Linked DNA regions of Struthio camelus. The main gene of each other region encodes a partner of the protein of the gene in region 2 in a complex. Links are inferred from orthologs where the notes say so. Each region holds a gene or a part of one and is shown on either strand. Other genes may lie near its edges.

Region 1 (7,561 bases), on a different chromosome or scaffold from region 2:
AAGCATGCAGGAGGGATGAAGAGGAGAGAGTTGTATGAAAAATGAGGTTGAGACAGAAGGCAAATCCTGCAAGTGAAAATATATTAGAGGAGAAAGGTCATGTCAAAATACAGTAGAGCTATTTATTTTTGTGCTGCTCTTATCTTATGCATTCTCAAGGCAGCAATTTTGAATCTTATTATTTCTGTGCTCTCCAGCGGCTTACGCTGCCTAGCAATGTGTGGTTGGCGTGTGCATGCTCTGTCGTGGCAGAGCTCTCCTGCTGCCTAGCAACTGGCAGCGCGAGTGGCAAGGTGTCCCGCCGACGGGGCACCAGACCCCAAGCACGCAGCCTCTGCAGCACCGGGACGCAGCCCTACAGCACGCCAGCTCCAAATATCTCTGCCTTCACAGTGAGGAGGGAGGGAACGTCTCTGGTTGGTACAACTGTAATGAAAAACTTAAAAATATTACTTGAGAAAAGCACATGCAGAGATGCCCAGGAGAGTGCAGAGAGCCCGGCAAATTATCTCCAAGAAGCGGGAACAACCTCATTCATCTCTCCAACACTCAGATACCCTGTGATGATAATTAAAATATCAACACGGTTAATTATTTTAGTTCTTAAGTAAATCTCTGTGTGCTAGATCTAAAGCACAGGAAGGCAAACCAATATAGCTCTGTAGCTTCTTGACCAGTTACTTCTAATATGGAATAAGAAACACCAAAAAAGCCTCTTTTTGTCCCAGAAAAAAAAAAGATTTTGGTAAGTATTCATGTAGGATTGTCCTAGTACAGCTGCACTTGTGTAACTATATCACAGTAATCAATAACAATTTTCTGACAAGAACATGAGGCTTGGCATTTGGCAGTAGAGCTGACATGGCTGATCCGAAGAGGTGCCATGTCCCCTACACTTCCAGCTGTCCCCTCTGATCCCTCATCTCCCTCTCCAGTGCCCTAGTCAAAAACACTTGTGTGGCTAGACAGCTGGATCAAGAACTGATCCAGCCGAGAAACCGTCCAACAAGAAATAAATGGTTATTTTCCAATCAACACTACTGAAGCAAGTACTGTTCCCAAGGGAAAAACAAAGACATACATCAATCTGTGGCCTAGAAAACAGAACAGACAGTTACAGAACTACATAAATTATAGTGCAGGAGAAGTTGCTTTGATGCTACAGCTGGATGCATTTAGAAGACAGCCACATTCTTCTGTGCTAGTCAGGAATGAGCTACGTCCCAGAAGGACAGTATTGCCCCTGGAGACCACCATGCCCACTGAGGGGGAAGTGAAGCTCATATAGGCAGTTGAGACACAGAGTTACACAAGCACACTTTACTCTGAATGAGATCTCGTTCTAATGATTGCTTAGTTGGAGCTTGAAGAGCATCATTACATTTTTTTCTCCACCAGTCCAGGCTCTAGTAAAATGTTTTAGTCTCACTTCTCTTGCACACTTTCATAAATCTTGAGCAAGTTAGTTAACTTTCCATTCTCATCAACAGTTCATTGTCTAGAACTATGGGAAAGTGTGATAATTAAAAAAAACAGCATAAAACAGTTTCTAAAGGACACCATGGTGAACGCAGTTCAGACATACACCAGTGTCTTCAAAAAAGGTCAACTTAGGTCCAAGGGTTTATTGGCTCTGGCTCAGTGCTGGTTTTGCTAGGTTTGGCAAGTTCTTATACAGCTACCTGAATGCGTCTGTGCTTTCAGGTGCATGGGAATTGCTTCGTGTACACACCATACATGTTCATGGAGCCAGCTTGGGTCTAGTGCATCTGAGTCAATACATCCCCTGAGAACCTGAGAGATGAGGAACACACTGTAAAGACACTCAGGTGAACCTCCAGGGAGTCATTTTGAAACCAGGAGGACTAACATGGATCAGGAGCTAATAAGGCCTGCTGATCTGGTTGAGCACATCCACACTATGTTTCCCAGTGCCTCTCATCTAGCCTGGCCTAGCAGCAACATACCTGTGGTTGTATGGCACTGAGTTAAAAAGTTCTGCTGGAGTTGACCTAGCTCGGTGTGGAGCCAGCTGTTGTGTTTCTATACTTGCAGTAGCTCTATCCTCTATGTACTGGTTAAACCCTGGCTGTGCAAGTAAGGCTACAACAAGTGCTGTAGCACATGTCACAAGATGGCGCTCTTTGATGCGGTCTTCCAAGCTCCTCTTGGGCTGCAATCACACTTTAGGAAGAGTTGGCAAGTTTGGGGTTTATGCAAGGCATTTTGGGTTGAGATCCATGGAGGGAAAGGGGCCGTATGAACACCTGAAGCCTCTGCTCTACTGTTTGAGGAGGGTGTATTCACTAAGGGCCACCACTCCCCTACTCAGCTTGCTGTTCTGCCATCTGCTTTTAGGGCTTGTTTGCCCACTGAAGCGAAGCACAATGCATTTAGCAAAATACACATAACTGATTTTTCCAATATTGAAAAAAGTTGATGTTCAAGACCCCAAACATCTGCCAACCCTTCATACAGGGGCAGCAATAGCATTTGAAGAAGAACTACCAACAATTGTGCTGCGTTTGAGGATGTTAACAGCTTCCATGAAGTCAGTCTTTGATCTGTAGGTAATTACAAACTCATCCAAGCCAATGGGTGCGTTAAGCAATTTGCAGCCAGACTGAATAAAGACATGAAATTTGTCTTTGTATTATAGCTGGAAACAAGGAGAAGTCAGTGCCCAAGACAGTTTCTGATCACATTTGCTGTGGGACCCATTAAAGGCTTGTCTATATTTCAGTACTGTTGCATATCAAATTTACTTTATATTAAAATGGCACCTAAAATCCTAAATAAAATGTTTGATTGGAAATTATATGCTGTCCTAAAGAGAATTATCGAAACCACTTTGGAAACAATTTTGTTGAGCTGCCAAACGAATTAACCTGCGGAGCAATGTAGACTCCTCTCTATCCCACAGGAAGTGCTGTAGCAGGTCCTTTCTGCGATGTCCCAGGATGCACTGGAATGCCTTTCTGTGTAGCTGTCTCACCGTTCCCCAGCCAGGTGGTGGTTTTTGTAACTCCAGCTGCAAAGACCTTCCCAGGCCCACACGTCCTTCCCAGGCCCCCTGCCATTCATGCTTGGTTCCAGCGCTCTAGACTGAGATGCTGGACTTTGCTGACCTCTCAGGGAGAGGCAGATATATTTTTCCTTTCTCTTGACTTAGGCAAGCAGGTATGCCAAAGGATCCTGCCCAGAGTGGTTTTCAGTACTACAGACAGAGAAAGGACTCCACTGGACAATGAACATGCAAAATACCATGACTGTGCCGCAATTTAAGGCAATCTGCTCTTACTAGGATGTCTTTGAGGGTGTCATTCCTAAATACGTTGACATTTCTCTGCTATGGGTTTCTCCAGGACAATTACTAAAATGCAAAGGCTGACCCCAGTTGTGTTTGTGAGTGCGTACACAAGGCAAGCAAAGCCAAGGCATGAATAATGGAGCTAGGAAACAGCTCTGTTTGGGCCTGCTACTTACTGGAAGGCAGGCTTGGACTTCTCAGCACATAAGGCACCTGCTGTTATTGGCTTCTTTCTGGTATGAACACGGAAAGAGGATTTGACTTTCAAAAAAATATATGCAAAAAATATTTTACTGAAGAATCACTGGACCCTTATCCATCACATCTTTTCAACAACAATTGGACAAAAGCCTAAACAACGATTAACAACTACGGCAAGAGAGTGCCACAAATAACGTATTCATCCCAGTATAATATTTAAGTTCTTCTTATGATATTAAAAAGATAAATGCTAATTGTTTGTGAATTGTCACTTCTGGGCAGGCCCAGAAAAAAAAAAAATCTACACAGCTTAGATTTGGTGTTTTTCCTACTCCACGGGAGAACCAGCTGGGAACAGACTTCCCCTCGGACTAATTACCTCTAATTGTGACGCTCTTACCACCTTACCAATTTCTGCCACCCTTTGCTGTTATGCTGCTCGAGCCTTGCCCTGCCCCATCTGAGGTGGTCGCTGGCCAGAGCACCAGCGCAGAGCTTCACCCCGCACCCTGTTGCCGCTTCTCCTGGAGAGGTGACCCTCGCCCAGGGCAGCCCTGGTGGGACTGGGTTTTTCTGAGGAGGGACGAAACGAGCAGCAGGAAAAGAGGCGCTGGAGAAGGGCTCGGAGAGCCAGGGGCGGGGGCAGCGCTCGCAGCCCGCGCGTTGCGGTCGGCGATGCGTGTCGTGACCGACCCCCGGGCCCTCGCCCAGGCCCTCCGCCGCCGCGACAGCCTCGTTCAGCTCGGCGAGAGGATGGCGCTGCCCCCTTCCCTCCTCCCTCCCTTCCTGCCCGCCCGCCCCTCATGAGGCCGGCGGCCCCTCTCCCGCCTCCCTCCGCGGAGGCCGCGCCGGGAGGGCAGCGGCGGCCCCCCGAGCACCGCCACCATCCCGCCGCGGCCGCGGGCGGCGGCCATGAGCAGCGCCCGCCTCGCCGCGCAAGCGCCCTACGCGGAGCAGCGGTGCCTACGATTCCCAGCTTCCTTTGCAAAGAGCTTTTTTTTCTTTTTTTTCTTTTTTTTTTTTTTCCTCCTCTCTCCGAGGGGGCAGGATGGGTGGGGAAAGCGAGAGCTCACGAAAGCGAGGCGAGGAGGAATCCCACAATACCAGGCGGGTTGTGAGCTCGGAGCTGCCGCTGTCTCTTTAATGCAGGAGGAAGCGATGCGGAGGGGTGGAAAATGGCAGAGTTGCAGATGTTACTAGAGGAGGAAATCCCTTCTGGCAAGCGGGCTCTGCTCGAGAGCTACCAGAACCTCACTCGGGTCGCCGACTACTGCGAAAACAACTACATCCAGGTGAGGGGCGGCGGGGGCAGCGCCCGTGCGGCGCACCGGGGCGCGGAGGCTGGCGGCAGGGCGGGGAGGCAGGGCGGCTCTCCGGTGCGGGCGGCGGCGCGGAGCCGGGGCCGCGGCCGCCTCTGGGGCACCGCGGCGCCCCGCTGCCCCCGCCGCGGCTCCCTGCCCGCCCCCGCCCCTCCGCCGTTCCCCCGGATTTGCGTTTTCTTTTAACTTTTCTCGCTGAACGACTGGATTTTCCTCTCCCCCGCTCCGAAGGGGGGGGGGTTATTATGTCAGTCCGGCTCAGAGGGTGTGTCTTTTTTTTTCTTTTTTAAATTTATTTATTATGAGTCACATCCCGGAGACCTCCCTGGGCGGGGGGGGGATGGTGGTGGGGCTTGTGAGCCGCGCCGTGTGGCCGGGTCAGAGCCGGTGTCTCAGGTTTCCCCGTCAGCCGTCGCCCCGCGGCGGCGCGGCTCCTTCGGGGCAGCGCGGGGCGCTCGGTGTGGCGGGCGGCGAGGCGGGCCCGCCGCGGCGGTTGGTGGCGGTTGGTGAGGCGGGCAGCGCCGCGCCTCACGTGGAGCGGCGGCGCGCGGCTTTCGCACCTGAGGCGCGGGGGCCGCGGGCGGCGCTGAGGGGCGGCGGGGGGGGGCGGCGGGGCACGGCGCGCGCGCGCGGCTGACATCACGCAGGGCCGTCGCCCGAGGGACCTCGCCGTGGAAATTCTGCTTTTAATCCCGGCCGCGTAATTCTCGCCGAGGCCCCGCGAATCACTGTCTTGGCGTGATGCGCTGCAGGTTTGAATCGTGAAAAGGAGCGGTTTGTGAGAGCAGGAAGCGGCCGGCATACCGGTGCTAACGTGTGAGCGTGATGTGGTATTTCAAAATGGCAATCTGTGCCTCTTGGAGGCTTCCTAGTTCAACCATCCTATGACAGTAATTTTAGACCGGCTCTCTGTTGCTGGAAGAGGCTCCATTGGTTGAAGCTTGTCTACACCAGTCAGTGCGTATTTTTTTTTCCCCTCGTAGCTTGCTGGTGCTTCTTGGCCTTGCTTTAAGTCATTTTTGTGAAGCTACTTTAAGCACACTTTAATTTATTTTATTTTTTGAGGGTTTGGCTTTGCAGCATTTAAGTCGGAATGTAGATCTGTATATGTAGCCATACTGATGTGGATTCAGAGCCACGAAGAGATGCTCAGATTAAACATTCTTTCATTTTTTCTTAAAAAAAAAAAAAAGCAATTAAATTACACTACTTACTAGACAGCTTGTAAAGTTGACTTGTTGAATGTAATACTAGACTACCTGTAATGAGTACTTAATAAGTGTTATTAAAATCTTTGGTGTCCATTGTTGCTAGTACACTTACTATTTTTAATAATGGAGCAGCAAACTTGAAAACCAGGCTATAAGAATCTGTACTGGAATCTGTTTTCTTTTTTTTTTTTTTAATATGAGCTAATGTTGGTATTTAGATTAAAGCTGTACTAACGAGCCGTGTTTTTTAAGACTCTTTTTCTGTGAGGCAATAAGAGTTGATGTGTATTTACTCTTCCGACTTGTTTGCTCCACCCAAATAAAGCTGCTGATATAAATGCTTCTAAGAGGCGAGGTTCATTTAGTTTTACTCATGGGAAATTATGACAAATACATGAGTATGGTAATTACAGCACAAGTTTTGACCCGTCTCCTGACTTTTTCTCCTGTGTTAAAAAGTTGCAGAGTATCTTCGGCTATATGATTTTTTTCAGGGTCCTAAAACTTGCCTTCTCTTTTTCAAGCAAGCAAAAAACATTTAAACTCCTTCTCATCCAGTTGTTTGTCAGGATTTTTTCCCCCCTCTAGCTCATTTTCACCTCAAGTATCAGGGTCAATTGGATATGGAATTGGTACAGTCTGATGGTTTATCTGTGTACAGCTGTGTTTATCCTTTTTGGAAGGAAGCTGAAGTTCTAAAATTCCTAATAAGGATTTAAGCAGCAGCTCTGAAGAATGTATACCTAGCTTGCATGGTGCACAGATCAGACTCAAGTCAGTAAAAATGGCAAATATATCTATAAAACTGATTTTTTTTTGAATGTCTGGTAGAGGGTTTTTTTGGTTTTTTTTTTTTTCTTTTTAATCAGCACTTTGTGCAAAGCCATCTGCTCTCCAGTTGGACTACTGAACAGATTATACTTCCTGTGCCTGTGGTCGTGCCACTGCAGGATTAGGCAATATGACACTGAGAGTCTGGGTTGTGAGGACTGGGAGAGTGTGTGTATGTATGTGTGTGTGTGTGCGCGTGCGTGTGTGGTATGGGAAGGGAAGGGAGGAAAGAGGAAGAGGCTTAACCAACACAAAATGTAAACTGTTTGTGTTTAATATAATTGAGTTAGTAACTAATAGTCAATGCAACAGGGAGCATTTAAAAAGAAGGGGGTAAAAAAAAAAAAAAAAACAGGCCAGAATGGAGAACCTATATGTTAAGTGAGTGCTAAAATAGTTTAGGATTGGCTATGTGTCATAATTTGTCCTATGTAACTGACTCAAACTGTCCTCTTTGAGTTTGGATAGCTTTGAGTCTGGATAGTTTTCTGTCTTTGTATGGGAAAGATTGTGTGCTATTTAGTATAAAATCTATTATTCTGTACTCAGACCTCCTCTGCATGGTGAGGTTGAGATGGAACAAGTTTGATTATTCTGTTTGCTGGTATTAACAATTTACAATAATTATAATAGCACTCATTCACTCAAAACTCTTGATATTATTATTTTTTAATTCTTTGTTTACTTTA
Region 2 (7,691 bases):
TTGTTGATTTTATGTTTTCCTTAGTAGCATAGAGTAAAGCTAGCAGCTCCAAATTGCCGGCTGATTAAAAATAAATAAATAAAAAATCCTTCCCCCCAGCTGCTTTTCAATCTTAAAAGACCCTAGAGATTTACAAGTGTTCCAGCTTTCCTCTTATACTCTTTGGTACACTTCAAAAACAAAGCCAACAAAAACACCACCACCAACAACAAAAAAACAAAAAACCCTTCCCTTATTGATAAATTCTCATTTACTGGATTGTGCAGTGGCTCATTGCTGCACTGCATTTATTGCTGGAAAAGCTGTACAAAACCACTGGTCATGGCGCTAGATATCTAATGAAATTAATAGATTAGAGAGGTAGGGCTGGGGTCGAGATAAGAGTAATGGCAGGGAGGGATGTGAATCCAGATGAGGCCAAGTGAGGGATTACATTTCGGCTGCTGCTTGGATGTTAGAACATGTGACCCTGAAACAGCAATAAAAATATTTGTGCATTAAAGCTAATAAGGGTGATAAAAGATGTATGTATTGATGCTACTTCCTGACAATGCATTGCTGGAGGGATGTAACTGTTTGGGGCAAGGCGGGCTATATCTTGCAATGCTAAATCCCTAATAGGGTGCTGTCTGCCTTGATAATGGCTTGTAGAGGATAGAAATTTAAAGAATGCTTTTAAAGACTGTACTGAACTCTGATGCAGTTGTAATGATGAGCTGCGTAACAAACATGCCATAGTCTTCTGTGCGGATTTCTTGCATGATCAAAATGCATATAATTTCTGATAGGGTCAAGGAGGGATTTGTACTCATTCATGCCTGTCAGGGAGTTGGGTGAGTGGGCTCTGGTGTGGTTGGCAGCTCAGCATGCAGGTTATTGGAAAGTGGAGCAGCGGGACATGGGCTCATTGTACAGACAGAGAGAGTTAAAGCCTTCAGAGTTGGCAGGGGGCAACAGAAGGTATTGAACAAAAGGATGGCATATGTTCTAGCATTGGAAAGCAGAACCAGGAAACTTATATCCGTTTGAAATGATGGCATGCAGCACTAGGAAGGAAATCAAAAGATAGCTGCACATCTCATCATGCACTGATGGGTGTTTACAAATGTGCAACATGCTTGCTATTGGCAGCTGTGCTACTGGTGACCTACGTGCTCTCAGGGTCAGAAATCTTTTCTTTTTGTGGGGTTAGAGATAGATGTGGGCAACCAGATCACTTTTTATTTGCATAAGGCCTTCTGAAGCAGAAAGCTCTTGGCTGTAGTCTGTTGTTGGAAGGAGTTACTAGTATTTGTCATAAGCTGGCTAGGCTTCCTGCCATGGGCAGGTTTTCACTTTCTGAGCTGTCTGCTCATTGAGACCTCTTTTAGACAGTTGCTGCTTGCTACTTGGTCTCTTCTGCTTAAACTCTCCACAACCTGTGCCCTGTACACATGTGTTTATCTCTTCTTGAGAGCTGCAACAAGTTTTCTTATAGGTAGTGTGGGAACGTGTAATGTTTTTGTGGTCTTGCTGTGCTTTAAACCATTGGCCGCGTCTGATACAAAATGAAGTCTGTGCTGACATCTTCAGCCAAAATCCTGTCCAGCCCTTCACAGCATGGACAGGTGACTGACACGTTGCCAGAGGTATGGCTTTTGTTTTTAACTAATTTATAGTTTTAACTATTTTCTTTGTTTGCAGCACTGCATGGTTTACAATTCTTGGGCTCACTGCAGCCCTAGCTGATCATGGCTTCATGAATGCCTTTCTGTACTGGATCATGGCAGTTTTACCTCCTGTGGTGTTTTACCTCCTTTATGAGGATGAGAAGATCTCTGTTGAATTAACAGGTAAAGTATCGATAAGCTTCATCACTAAAATATCTGAGTGGAAAGATGCGAAACCGAGACAGTACATAAGCATTTTACACATAGCAAACAGCTAGTGGCAGGGCCTTAAGATTCCTGTGGAAGCTCTTCTTTCATAGACTTTGCTAAATACTGTAAAGTGCAAATAAAGAAATCAAAATGGAATCGAAATAACTGGAATTCGGGAAACAGTCTTGTGGGTGTCTGTATCTACCGTAGATACCCCTGAACAGAGGCAGAGAATTGGATCAAGCTTGATACCACCGTATCATATGATATTCATCTGGTTTAGGTGTAGGGTACACAAATTGTCAACAGCATGATACGTTAGTGCTGTAGATCTCACTATAGATAACTGACAGGTATGGGCTCAAATACCAGGTTGAAATAAATATTTTACCACCCAGAAAGGGCTGTTGAGTTTCTAATTCTAGCTGTTGGCTTCATGAAAACGACAGCCATCTTCCAGTGGATAAAGGGTCAGTTAATGGCTTGGTCAGGATGTATAGAAACTTACATCTTTAACTAGGCGCGGAAGAGGTTCACATTCAATTAAGCAAGAGTGTGATTAAGAGCATTCAAAGTCAGGCCCAGAAGAAGGAAAATGTAACGGCAGAAATGGGTCATGGAGATCTCTATATCTTAGCTCCTTTAATCCAGTACTGTCATCCCATTATTTAAATTGCACAAAAGTGGAGTGAGCAGGGAGTTGTGGGGCATTTCAGAATTGAATCTGGCAGCTGAAATGCTGTGAAGACTCTTTCCAAATTAATTCTGAAAAGCATACCTTGCTGTTACGAGAGAACATACACATCCAGTTCTTGTAATGTGATTGTCCTCTAATCCCGATACCAAACAACCGAAAAGCAACACAAGTCTTGACTAGCTGCTTAATTACCATCAGTATTTTTAATCTGACCTTATGGGTAGCTATAAATTTTGAGTACAGGATTGTCCGAAAGGGTAGATTGCCCCAGTAGAGGGCAGTAGCTCCTACACCCACTCTGTTTCTTTAGCAGGAACATGGCAAGACCCTGAAGCATCGGGCGGTTGTACGAGAAGTTGTTATTGTTAGGGCAGTATGGTGCTGCTTGGCAGGGTCTGGCTTTTGTGCGAAGCAGCACTCCTGGCACCAGATGACTTTTTGTAAGCACGGAAGCTCCAGTGGCAGTCTTGCACAGGAGCACTAAGGAGAAACGCTGGTGGGGCCAAGCTGCTGCTGTTCAGATTTTCTGGCTCTGATTGGAGCAGCTCCTTGATTGGGCCTTGCAGAAATTTGGTGTGCTTCCAGCCTCCCTTGGGGCTCTGTTGTGGCTTGATAACTAAGGCCTTGCTGCTGATCTAGGCCAAGTGGTTGCATTAAGACAAGGCTGTTGTGAGTTTGCACTAATCCAGGACTAGCAAACATGCACGATCCTGTCTTACGAAGGCGAGTTAGTCTTCATGAGTTACTCTTCACTTTAGTAACTTGATTGCCCCAAGCGCTGTTTGTGGAAGAGAGCGTAAGAGGGATTGCACCTGGACAGTGTCAGCTGTCATTTTAGAAAGCTGAAGAATCCCGTTGTGGTAGCCTTTCCTAGTTTTCGCTTGACCTGGATTTAGAGGCTTGGATGATAAGGAACTGTGATAGATGGAATTTATTCATTTGATATATGTACTCAAAATATACTATTGTATGTGCACAAGCAGTCAGAGAAGAATAAGCAGCGACATCCTAGAAGAGAAACTGTTTCATATACCAATGGACAATATTGCAGCACTGGAAAAAATATGACTGTGAAGGTAAGTCTGCAATACGATGAAATAGTAACAACAACAACCTTTTGAAATGGTGTATAATTTCTCCCCAAGATGCTGAAATTCTTGATGGTGTGGAATGGATAGAATAGATGGATAAAACAGTACTTGAAGTCATGAGGATTAGTGTGTTTAGCAACTTATCTCCACTTCCCAAAGGCTTTCTTGTAGGTGCTTGTACAAAAAGGCTATTTAAGGAAACTTAAAACAGTGGAAATTTGAAAAAAACAAAGATCAAGGAAAGGAATAATTATTCTGTTCTCAGCACAAAAAGCATTAACAGCACAGTATCTCACCAGCAGCTCTTGAAAACAGAGATGAGAAAATCGCTTGCTGCAGCAAAACTGTGCAGGTTGCTAATGAGTAAGGGAGGATTTTCAAAAGCAGATAAAATGTGGGATGCAACTTGAAGTAGTGAAATACAAGAAAAGGGGCTTTGAGGAGATTTCCAAACAATTCTGTTTGTTCTATGTTCGGAACTGACTGTAATCCCTAGATATAGTAGAGAGGTGTGTTCTGTCTGCTGTAGGATAGTGGACAGAAAGACCAGTTTTGGTGACCAACTTGGGAAGAAATTTCTTTTTGTGGTACAGTGTCAAGTAGATGAATCTTAAAATTGGAGAAATAGGACAAAAACAGAGTGTGAAATGAAAACGTGCAACAGCTAAGTACTTTCTAAAGTAGACAAGCATATACACGCTACTGTTTTACAGAACAATGACATTTGGAGGTGGTTGAGAGCAAAACTGGCCTTTTTGCTTTTCTGCTTTCAGTTTCAATTAACAGTGGCATTCCAGGTAGGAGCAAGGCCCACGCGAGCACCACCTAGAGGTAGTATTTCCAAGGGTTTTCTCTTGAAACCCTTGTGGTTAAGACTAGCCTCGGATCCTTGATGCGGGGGCTCGTTCCCTCCCGTCAAGTGAGGAAAATGTCGCCGCGGCCCGCGACTTTCACGCTCGGCGGCGTCATGTCCCGGGCGTCCCTGTGGCGCCCCGCACCGTGCTGAACGGCCGCGGGCCGGCCGGGCGCAGCTTGGTCCCTCTGCGGAATGAGCCTCTCTGGGGCTGACGCGCAGCTGTGAGAGAGTCGTGCTCTGCTTGTGTCTGTATGGGTAGCTAACGTCTAAGGCTGCTTGCCTTATGTTGGGGGGTGGGGGGGGGGGAGAGCAGTCGCTCCTCGGCGGCCGCGGAGCCCCGGCAGCCGCCCGGCACCTGCAGCGCTGCGCGGGGAGGCGGCGGGAGGCGGGGCCCGGCCCGGGCGGGGAGGGAGCGGGGGGCGGCAGGTTTGGGATGGGGCGGCGGGAGGAGGAGCTGGAGCGGCAGGAAGGGTGTTTCCCTGCGTAGTTCCCAGCCGAAGTGACTCAGACAGGAAACTGCCAGCCAGGCGCGGCCGGGGGAGAGGAGCCGCCGGGCCGACGCGAGCCCCGGCGGCGGCGAGCCGAGCCGAGCCGAGCCCCCCCCCCCCACCCCCCTCCTCCAGCCCTCCGCCCCCGGCGGCGGGCGACCCTCGCGGGAGCCGCCGGCCAGCGGGTGAGCGGCGCTTGCCCGGCTCGGCGCGACGCGGGGGCTGCGGGGCGGGGGGGGGGGGGTCAGGCCTCCGCGGCTTGGGGCGCCGCTTCGCCTCCCGCCTCGCCCTGCGCCGTTCTCGGCGGCCGCGGGGCTCAGGCCGCGGCGCCCCGGGGGGCTGCGCGGGCCGGGCCGGGTTGGGTTGGGCCGCCCTGCCCTGCCCTGTGCCGGCCGCCAGCGCCGGGCGCCCGCGGGGCGGCAGGCGGGGGGTGGGCTCTGCGTGGAGCCGCCTCGGTGTTGTTGCCTGCCCGCGCCTGTCCGCAGAAACGTTTGGTTTTCTCCGGATGCTGAAATTTAAGTCAGTTCGTGCCGCAGGCTGCGTTGCGCGGTGCGCTTGTCTACGCGCGCGCGTGTGTGTAAATACATACATATATACGCGCAGCCCGAGCGAGGCCCGTCAGGTGCGGGCAAGCTGGGGCAGGTAGCTGGTGGCAGGGCGCGGGGGAGAAGATGCGGTGCCCTGCCGGGTAACTGCCAGCCTGCGGCGGGCGGGCGGGCGGGCGGGCTGCCGCTTCTGGGGTAGGCCAGAAAGCGTATGAATCCTCCCAGGTGATTAATTGGAGAGCGGTTTTAAGTGTGTCGCTTATGGGGGGAGGGGGGGTTTCGTTGTCCCCTCTCGCATGGAGTCCGTGTGTCTGTTTGCGGTGCTGGGATAGTTAGAGCTTTGCTTCCGATGCTGTCCGGTGTTGGGGAGCAGATGAGGTGGGAAATAGTAAGTCAGAAACGGCGTGCAAATCCATCCCCTCTTTCAGTTGAAAGAGATGATTGAGCATCTGTCTGAATTCCCAGAGTAGGATTTTGAGGAACTTGAGTTTTCTCTAATCAAGATAATTACGTTGTAGTGAGAGTTGCAGCGTCTGTTCATAATTCCCTACTAGGCATCGTGGTAACCGTGCACCTTCTGTATATGTCTACGATGTGCGAACGGATTCATGCCGAAATGGATTTCATATACTTCTCTAGTTCATCAGGAAGTCTGTTAATAGTTTTTACCTTTCTAGTTCTCATTGCCTTATTTTTTCTTCCTGTACCATCTGATGATAGGTGTGAGTAGTGTTTAGACATGCAAATTGTTATTTGTGTCAGGAAGACAGACTATATGGAGGAGGTAGTCTTTGAGGAATGTAGTGAATCAACCTGAAGTGGTTGCTGAAGCGCATACATTGGAGGGGAGAGGAAAGTTGTCCAGAAGAATTTCTCTTTAATTAGAAGGTCAGACAACACTTTACCATAAACTGCGGGAGATGTAAAGTTTAGACTCTCTAGTAAGCATCCCTAGTCCTTATTGCATTTCACTTACTTATTTGCCAAAGCTTTATTACAGCAAATTTACTGAAAACTCATGCGTTTAGTGTCATTGGTTAATGTATTTTTTTAGATGGGAACTTCTAATAATACCATGACGTACTTTCTTGATCTTTGTTTTATATTGGTATTAATTGCATGTTTACAAACTGTTTTATGCTCAGGCGGAGAATCTCTGAGCTCTGTGCTTGAACTTGTGTTCTTAGTCCTCACAGCGGTTGTTCTGTCTGGTTCTTGGATTTATCCAACTCCTACTTCTGCGCTTTTTAAAACTGCTTTTGTTTTTTTTTTAACACAGAGTTCCTCCTGACCTAATCTAAAAGGCTCTTTCAGCATTCGCAATTAACTTGCCTGTGAACTTTAGCTGGAATAGGCAGCCGTTATTTCCTTAGCTGCCAGGAAGGAGGAGGTATTTGGAACCAGCCTTTGGAAAACTTGGGGTACAGTATGAAACAGTAATGTTTCTTTGCAAAAGCAACTTGCTTGAATTTTTTTTTCTGTCAGGACAATGATGTGGTTGATAGAATACCTCAGTTGTATTTTGTGGTTTCCAGGTTGTTACGCCTAGATTATTGTTATTCTTATTTAGAAGGAAGAAAAAGCCTGGAGTCTTAAGAAAAACAAACAGACAAGGATCCTGTGCTGAAGATGAGTAAGACCTTGTGCATTTTGTTCGCTGACCTTGGGTCTGGTGAATTCCTGCTGAGGGTTATGATCACGAGAGAGAATAGAGAAGTAGTGTTTGAAATGCGTGGAGCAGAGTTAATGTAAAATTTCTGGGGTTTAAATATTGCAATATCTCCTAAGTGGATACTGCTACATAAATTGCAAAAAAATCTACGTTAAAAGAAAGTGAATGTTCCACAAACAGTCCATACTTTTCATTTCTTAACTCTTTGACTGACTTTAAAAAAACTTGTAGTTCTTTAGGGTACTTATGTATGTTTTGTTATGAACACCTTTGATTTTTTTTTTTTTTCCTTCAGTTTTCTCAGGGTGGAAATGTTCCCCCTGGCTTGAACCCACAAACTTTCTTGACCCACTATACAGTCCTTAAAATATAAGTAAAGAACGAGCAGATACCTATTCCAGCTGTGTGTTTTATATTGGAAGTTTGTCTGATATCCACCTTAGTTTAATGAATGCTTTGTTTATTCCTTCTGAGAGAGAGAAG
Region 3 (7,714 bases), on a different chromosome or scaffold from region 2:
CAGGTAATGGGCATCTTTCCCATGTTAATTTGAAAACAGAATCCATGAGAGCAGGACACCGGGGAACGGAGCACGTCGCGGCTCCCCCGGCGGCGCCCCCCGGCGCGCTGCGGACCCCTCTGCTTTTCCTCGCCCGCCGCCGGCGGGTTTCGCAGGTGGTCGCCGTCAAGCGGAGGAGGATTTGGGCTTGGCGAGGGGGGCGCACGGTAACCTCGGGCGAGCCGGGCCACGAGTCCCGCTCGGCTGCGGATTGTGCTGAACCTGCAGCTCGGGGAAGGGGGGAGCGGGCACGGCGGCGGCGGCGGGGGGGGGGACGGCCCCGGGCACGGCCCGCCGCGGCCGACTGCTGCCCGCGATGCCGCGGCCGGAGCCCTGGGTGGCTGCTGCAGCGATAAAATCCCGGGGCCTTGTTTTATCCCAGCGAGGACGTGTCGAGCCGAGTCGCTCTCCCTCCTCCCCTCGCCGCCGTCTGAACTTGCCCCCGAATCACCCACCGGGGCTCCGTCCTTCGCTAACAAGGACTCGTACCTTTTATCCCCCGGCTCCGGGAGGGGAAGAGGATGGAGGGGAGAGGCAAGGATTTCTCCCGTGGGCGAGCCTCCCCCTTCCCGGGGGGCGGCAGCGGCGGGGGGGGGGGGGGGGAGGCTGGGTGGCGTTGGAGTTTCGTTTGCCGAGATACCATTAACGAGTGAGCAAAGGTTGCGGTGTCTCCATGGAGACAAGACAGCAAGCGAGACGGAGAGTGTGTGCATCTAAGGTTAGAGCTGATTAGTAAATGTCAGCAGCACAGCGACTGCCCCGCGCGCCGCTGGCTCGGGGCCCCGGCGGGCACCGCGCGCCCCCGGCCCCGCTCGGAGCATCCTCGCAGCCGCGGTGCCGGCGGCCGGACCCGCCGCGGTCCCCGACGCCGGGCGTTCCCGCGCCCTGCCGCCGCGGCCATACGGCCGTGAGCCCCTTCTCGGTTGTTTTCCGAGCTGCTCGCGGAGCCGGAGGGCGTGGAAGGGGCACCAAGGCTCCCGGCACCCTCCTGGCGGGTGTCCCGGGAGAGCCGCTCGGCCGACCTCCCGGGCGAGGACGGGGCCGCCACGGGAGGCAAAGCCACCCCGCGTCCTTGTCGCGGAGCCGCTCGCGGCCGGGCCGGCGGCTCGGCAGGCTGAAGGCGCGGAGCTGGCTTCGAGCAAGGCTGGGCGAGATACGCCGCGGCCGTCCCGTCGAGGATCTCCGCTCGCCCCCCTCCGTGGGTCGCGGGGAGGAAGGATGAGGCCGGGCCTGGCAGGCATCGCTTAGTTTTAGGAAGGAGCAAGGCCTGGGTTAAGGAAAAAGGTGGGGTGGGATGAAGCAGCAATTTGCGGCAGGGCCTTTCTAGGGTTATCGGGGCTTCAGTCGCAGCCTGCGCCCGCTCGGGAGGGAAGCGAGAGCCGCAGCACGCCGGCTCCGGCCCCTTCCCTCGCCTCGGCCCTCGCGCGGGCGCATCAGCATTTTACGCTCAGCAAAATGCAGGGAGGCACCTGGCAGGCGAGAGCATGCCTCTTGCAGAGAAACAAGTGTCAGGGGGTAGCGCGGGGGGGCTGGATACTGCAATTTAGCAGGTATTATTCGGCAGCTATAAACAGAGCCTCTCACACAGACGGGGAGAGATAAAGGTTGCAGTGCAGATACAGATTAGGTGGTTCCCTTGAGGCTGTGACACCTTGAGATAGAAGCAGATCTTCAAGGGAACGGCTTGCTGGCAGCCTGGAAAACCTGGAGCCGAGCGGCCTCCAGCGCCGCCGTGCTAGAGCCGGCTCCCGCGTCCCTGCCCTGGCGCCGCGGCGGCAGCTTTCCCCCAGTATGCGGGGGGGGGACGGGGCGGCGCAGGGCGTCCGGCCTTTGCACCGACCGTTGCCGAGGACGCCCTGCAAAGAGATGCATAAGGGAGAAACAGCTATTTTCAATAGTGCACGTGCCCATCTCGACCTCGAGGGCGCCGGAGGCGTGCCAGCACAAGTCGGAGCAACCCCCGGGCTGCTCCAGCCTGGCCGGGAGGCAGCCAGGGCCGTCGCCTTCGCCGGTCGGCGGCTCACGGCGCCGCCGAATCAGGCCGGGGAGCGCGTGGGACCTGTGCTTGGCGTGTGCTTTCCCTGGCCGCCGCAGCAGTTAGCAGCAGCGCTCTTAAATGGATTTGTTTGCTTCCAATGGGGAAGTGACAGAAAAGCCAGTGATTTACTCACTGCAGTTTGTTTTAAAGCACGATCACTTTGAGCTCCGAATAGATAGATGTCTGTGCCTTACGCCATTTATTTTGTTAGTGTCCATTTCTTTTCCTGGCTCCTTTAGGTATAAATGAAGTCAGCAATTATGGTTATAATCAGGCAGTGGGGAAAAAGATTTACCACAAGTGCACAGACAGAGAGGCTGTGGCGAAGGCGTACTGGGTACCGTGTGCTGTTAATTTTTGATCAGGTATTTACTCCTGCAGCTTGGGACAATGGAAATCTTTGTTCTCTTTCCTCCTTCCCCCCTTGAGGATAGCTTTTCCAAGTAGAAGAGGATTATTGGTCTGTAGCAACCTGCACTGCTGTACACCCCATTCCTCATCCCTGCGCAGAGCTGACCCCTGCGATCTCAAGGGGGTTTCTGCGGAGGGTCACTAGCATCACCCTTGCTCTGCCGAGGGCAAAACCGAGGTGAAAAGGAGGGGGATGGATGCACCCAGGGTCACCTAAGCTTGCAGCAGGGCAGAGAGGAGAATCAGGCTTTTCTGAGCCCCGGCATGCTCAGCACGCTGCTTGTCCCACTGCGACCCCCCCATCCTGCAAGACTTCTGCCTTTACCGGGGCCAGTCACACGTGAAAAGCAGAGCAGGGACAAAACGTCCTTGCAGGACCAGGACTTGCAGCGGCGTCTACTCAGCGAGGCCCTCCCGCATCGCTGCCCGTGTCGGGGTTTTAATTTAGAGCGCGTGTCCCCGCCGCGCACACCGTCAGCCCCCTTCGCTAAATCAGGAGGCTCGTTTGTGCTGCGACTCTGCTCCCAGCCGCGTATGGGAGTGTCGGGGCACGGAGAGGAAACGGTGCTGGAGCCAAAGGCAACGTCACTCGACAGCTTCCCGCAGCCGCCGCCCCGGCGCGGCCCCAAATGGCCCATGCAGAGAGGGGCCGCCTGGGCCCGGCACTGGCACCCCGGGGGGCTGGGTACCCCCCCAGGGCTGGGTACCCTCGACAGTGGGTAACCCTGGTGGTGGGTAACCCTGGTAGTAGGTGCCCCCAGCAGTGGGTAACGGTGGTGGTAGGTACCCCTGGCAGGGGGTACCCCTGGTGGTGGGCACCCCTGGCAGTGGGTAACACTGGCGGTGGGTACCCATGGTGTTGGGTAACACCAGTGCCAGGTACCCATGGTGGTAGGTACCCCTGGCAGTGGGTACCCCCGGTGGTGGGCACCCCTGGTGGTAGGTAACACTGGCAGTGAGCACCCCCAGTGGTGGGCACCCCTGGTGGTGGGTAACCTTAGTGGTGGGTACCTCCAGCAGTGGGTAACATTGGTGGTGGGCACCCCTGGTGGTGGGTAACCTTAGTGGTGGGTACCTCCAGCAGTGGGTAACATTGGTGGTGGGTACCCCTGGTGGTGGGTAACCTTAGTGGTGGGTACCTCCAGCAGTGGGTAACATTGGTGGTGGGCACCCCTGGTGGTGGGTAACCTTAGTGGTGGGTACCTCCAGCAGTGGGTAACATTGGTGGTGGGTACCCCTGGTGGTGGGTAACACTGGTGGTGAGTACCCCTGGCGGTGGGTACCCCTGGCAGTGGTTCGTGGCTGACAGGCAGAGGTGGGTGTCTGGGTTTGCACCCCCAGAGCTGGTGACTGCCAGGCTCCTGCCTGGCCCTGTCCCCCTCAGCCCCCTGCCCTGCTCCCTCCTCCCCTCTCCCCAAAGCCCCTCACCCATACCCCATCACTGCCACCCTGTCCCCTAACCGCCACCCTGTCTCCACCCCTACCCCCTAACTGCCACCCTGTCCCCACCCCCTCCCCTAAATGCCACCCCTGTCCCCAGCCCTGTCCCCTAACCACCACCCTGTCCCCACCCCTGACTCCTCACTGCCACCCCTGTCCCCAGCCCTGTCCCCTAACCACCACCCTCTCCCCACCCCTACCCCCTAACCGCCACCCTCTCCCCACCCCTGACTCCTCACTGCCACCCCTGACCCCCAACTGCCACCCTATCCCACCGCCGCCCCCTCACCCCCACCCCTGCCCCTCTTCCCCCCCCCCCCCGGCGGCCGCGCCGCCCTGGCGTGACACCCCCGCTCCCCCAGGTGGAACTTTCCTTGCGGGGCGTCAGACCATAGAGGCGAAAGGCAGCACCAAGGTGCAGCACTTGGGGGGGGACTCCGGAAAGGAAAGAGACCCTTTTCCTCCAGGCTAACCTAGAAGAAAACCGTGCTCTGGCACCCACAGTCCCAGATGTATATTTTGAAATTCTGTCGCTTTGCGTGACGTCGGGATTCTCCCCGCTTCCCTGGAAATGTTTCTCTCCTTGTCATCCAAGGATCCCCTCTTTAATCCCCTGGATGGTACTTTCCTCCCTGTTTACTCACTTTGCGCGGCCCGCTTGGGTGGGGTTCTTTTGCTGCTCCGATTTCGTACGCAAGTGGCGTAGGACGGCTTTGATAGACGGCAGCGCTCAGCCAATGGCAGGGCAGTAGCCTTGGCCAGCGAGCCAACGGTGTAGCGGACCGGCGGCCGGGAGGAGGCGGGGCAAAGTTTAGTCAGGGTAGGGAGGGGGAGCCGTGGAATGGCGGACGGCCGGGCTGGCCCGCCCTGGTGGTAGCGAGCCGAGGGGGCCGCAGAAGACAGCCTCGGAGTGGGGTGAGTGCGAGAGGGGGTAGCGGCGACCCCCCGGCCCCCCCCGGCCGCCTCTTCCCCGGGGAAAGAGGCGGAGGCGCTGGGGTGGGCCGTTAGGCCCTTGCCAAATAGTGAGCTCTCGGGGTGAGCCGGGCCCTGTTTCCTGCTACATAGTGAGCCCCCTGCCCTGTGTGGGCTCTGGTGCCCCCGGTCTTGGGGGGGGGTCTGGCCCCGGCCTGGGGCGGGGGGAGGAAGGGGGAAGGGAATGGCCTTATCCCAGGCTGACACTTGCCCTGCCCCTCCCAGGGGCCGTGGCTCAGTGCTGGGCTGCGTGGCCTGGGCTGGGGCTGCCCTGCCTGGGGGGCTGAGGGGGAGGGGGCTGCCCTGCCCGGGGGGTGCCAGTGCCCTGGGCTGGGTTAGGGGAAGGCTGGGTGCTGAGCTCTTAGTGGTGTCAGCCCCTGTCCTGGGGTTGTTACTGAGGTCTAGCTTAGCTGGGAATAACTTGAGGGGCCTGGGGAGGAGGAGAGGTTGCTGGGGTGCTCCCTAAAGGAGAAGAAGTGCTGCTTTGCTGGGGGTGGCGGGGGTCCTTCCCTTACCAGGCTGGTCGCAGCCTTTGCTCTCAGGCCTTGACATTAGTTCATCGAAATGGTGCTTGCGCAAATGCGTGCGTGTCTCTTACTTGTGTAGAAAGTTTATCCGTGCGAGTGGCTGACTGCCCTTGTTGGTGCAAGTTCTGGTGACTGCCCTCATGGAGGGTTGCTGTGAAAATGCTTTCTCCCTGCTGGCTGTCCTCCTGCCCCAGAAGTGGGTGCATCCTTCAGTATGTGTGGGTACACCTTATGGATGTGTGTAAGCCCCTCAACTAGCAGCTAACCATGCAGCCATGTAAAATGTCAAACTACTTGAGGTAGGACTGTGTGGGTGCATATGTTGGAAATATCTTCCCTAGTGTTAAATCCCTGGGCACTATCTGAAAAGAAGCTTTAAAGGGTGTAACGGCATATGGTTGGGTAATTTGGTCAAATGTGCTGACCTACCAGTGACCTCAGATCATATTTCTTTCAGAGAAGAAATAAGTTGCCAGGCAATGTCCTCAGGGTTGTACCTCACTAGCATTTGGGTTTATATTGGAGCTACTCCTTTGGGATACAAATAGCGTATGTCCTTTGGAGAAAGGCAAGATGTTGCAGCTCCTCCCTGTTAGCTATTGTTTGACCTTAAAGACCTTCCTCTGGTAGGAGTTTTTTTCTGCTGAAAGTTTCACATTTGGCCTTACTGATTTACTTCCATTAGTAGCAGCAGACTTGGGAGCCCTCACGTAGATGGACCTGCTAGCGGGACTATATGGCGTGTGAACGCCAAGTATTGGCCTGTTCAATAAGACATTAGAAAATGCTGACAGTCTAAGACTCCCAGCATGGCAGATCTTAGTGGATATGAAATAATCTTAATGATGATAAGGAACTTCAGTGAGTACACCTGATACAGACCAGGCTATAATTGCTGCAGACAAGGCCACAAGTTATCAAACCTTTTGTAACTCTCACACTTGTGCATCTTTCCCTCGAACTGGGAAATCTCGTGAGAACGGAAAGATTGAAAGTAAAAGACGTGACAGGCCAGTAGTGTGTGTGTGCGTTTCCCTGTGGCAAAGTTGATGCAAAATGTTACTTTATGGGAAGTATTAAAGTGTGTCTGCTTGATCACATGAGGAAGGGGAATAGTTATGTTTTCTGCTAGTTTTAAAAGCTTGTAGAATTGGTTGCTATAAAATGCTGCTGGAATTAAAATGCTGTGTTGCAACCCTATTCATTAGGAATTCTGACTGGCCTTTTAGTGACCTTGAGTGGATTTTTGTCATAGAAACTAATACTTAGCTAAAACAAACTTAGTTTAAAAACAAACTAAAGCTTACATCTACCAACTGAAAACACAGACAATATGTTGATAGAGTGACTTTGAAAATCCACTTGCACTCGCAGCCAAGGACAAGCTTTATCCAGCGAGTGGGGTGGAGTAGGTCAGGCACTTCACAATTCTGCAGGTTTTTTTTTTTTTAAGGTGTGTACTTGAAATACAGGATTTGAATGAAACAGCTTGACCACAGTCTTTGAGGCCTAATTCAAATCCTTGCACAAGGTGCAGTGGGCAGTATTGCACCTGAGCAGGTTGGTGACAGCAGGGATTGAACCCAGAACCTCTCATTTTGAAAGCATCACATGCTGCTTGACTAAAAGACTCCCTTCAGTTAGGGGCAAAGAGCAGGCCTATCAGCTCCCTATGTAGCCCAGGCGAATCAAGGTGAAGCTTTGCTATATGTAATGGGTGTTGGTTGTAAGAGCATAATTTTCCAAGGGTGAACTGAATGTAAACTCTTTCCCAAAGTGCAGCATGTTTTCACTGCTTTAAAAAAAGAAAGTTGATATTGTTTATTTATCTTGTAACAAGTTCAAGAAGTAAATATCCCAAATTCCATCCTTTTTTTTTTTAAAAAAAAAAAAAAAAAAAACCCTTCTGGTGGCTCATGCCTGTTAGACTCCTTCCTCTTCAAAGCAATGGAAATAAGCCTTTCCAATCTCTCTGCTGCTGATCAGTTTTTCCAAGCTGCTGTACGGTGATGTTAGCAAGAGCCCTGCTTCATTTCACTGTTCTCACAGCCCCAGCCCCACAAAATCAAAGGTGCAGCAATGAAATGAAACAGTCTTCTCTTACCTGATCTTAGGCTATAGGCTTGCCCCCATTTCTCGCTTTAGCTTCTGTCTGGTGTACATTCCTAACAAATCTTTCAAGCTCTGGCTTTGTAAAACTATGCTGGGGGGAGGGGGGGAAATGCAGGCCAAGAGTTTGGGGAAAAGGAAATGCAGTGTGTTTCCAACTACTTTGTTTTGTGCCTAC

Evidence for each region. The genes of interacting proteins can lie anywhere in the genome.
Region 1: CYFIP1 (region 2) and ABI1 share a complex: the UniProt entries of both Homo sapiens proteins name them as parts of the WAVE2 complex. The link is inferred for Struthio camelus from reciprocal best matches to the Homo sapiens genes CYFIP1 and ABI1.
Region 3: CYFIP1 (region 2) and WASF2 share a complex: the UniProt entries of both Homo sapiens proteins name them as parts of the WAVE2 complex. The link is inferred for Struthio camelus from reciprocal best matches to the Homo sapiens genes CYFIP1 and WASF2.

What each region holds. Positions count from the first base shown.
Region 1 is NC_090943.1:19,262,228-19,269,788, forward strand, and holds the start of ABI1 (abl interactor 1), read left to right. Parts: upstream 1-4,554; 5' UTR 4,555-4,686; coding exon 4,687-4,803; intron 4,804-5,494; exon of another isoform or gene 5,495-5,787; intron 5,788-7,561. UniProt on the Homo sapiens protein: May act in negative regulation of cell growth and transformation by interacting with nonreceptor tyrosine kinases ABL1 and/or ABL2. May play a role in regulation of EGF-induced Erk pathway activation. Involved in cytoskeletal reorganization and EGFR signaling.
Region 2 is NC_090942.1:148,825,271-148,832,961, forward strand, and holds the start of CYFIP1 (cytoplasmic FMR1-interacting protein 1), read left to right. Parts: upstream 1-4,680; 5' UTR 4,681-4,695; coding exon 4,696-4,724; intron 4,725-4,964; exon of another isoform or gene 4,965-5,176; intron 5,177-5,418; exon of another isoform or gene 5,419-5,496; coding exon of another isoform or gene 5,497-5,510; intron 5,511-6,815; exon of another isoform or gene 6,816-6,957; intron 6,958-7,691. UniProt on the Homo sapiens protein: Component of the CYFIP1-EIF4E-FMR1 complex which binds to the mRNA cap and mediates translational repression. In the CYFIP1-EIF4E-FMR1 complex this subunit is an adapter between EIF4E and FMR1.
Region 3 is NC_090964.1:6,577,147-6,584,860, forward strand, and holds the start of WASF2 (actin-binding protein WASF2), read left to right. Parts: upstream 1-4,707; 5' UTR 4,708-4,843; intron 4,844-7,714. UniProt on the Homo sapiens protein: Downstream effector molecule involved in the transmission of signals from tyrosine kinase receptors and small GTPases to the actin cytoskeleton. Promotes formation of actin filaments. Part of the WAVE complex that regulates lamellipodia formation.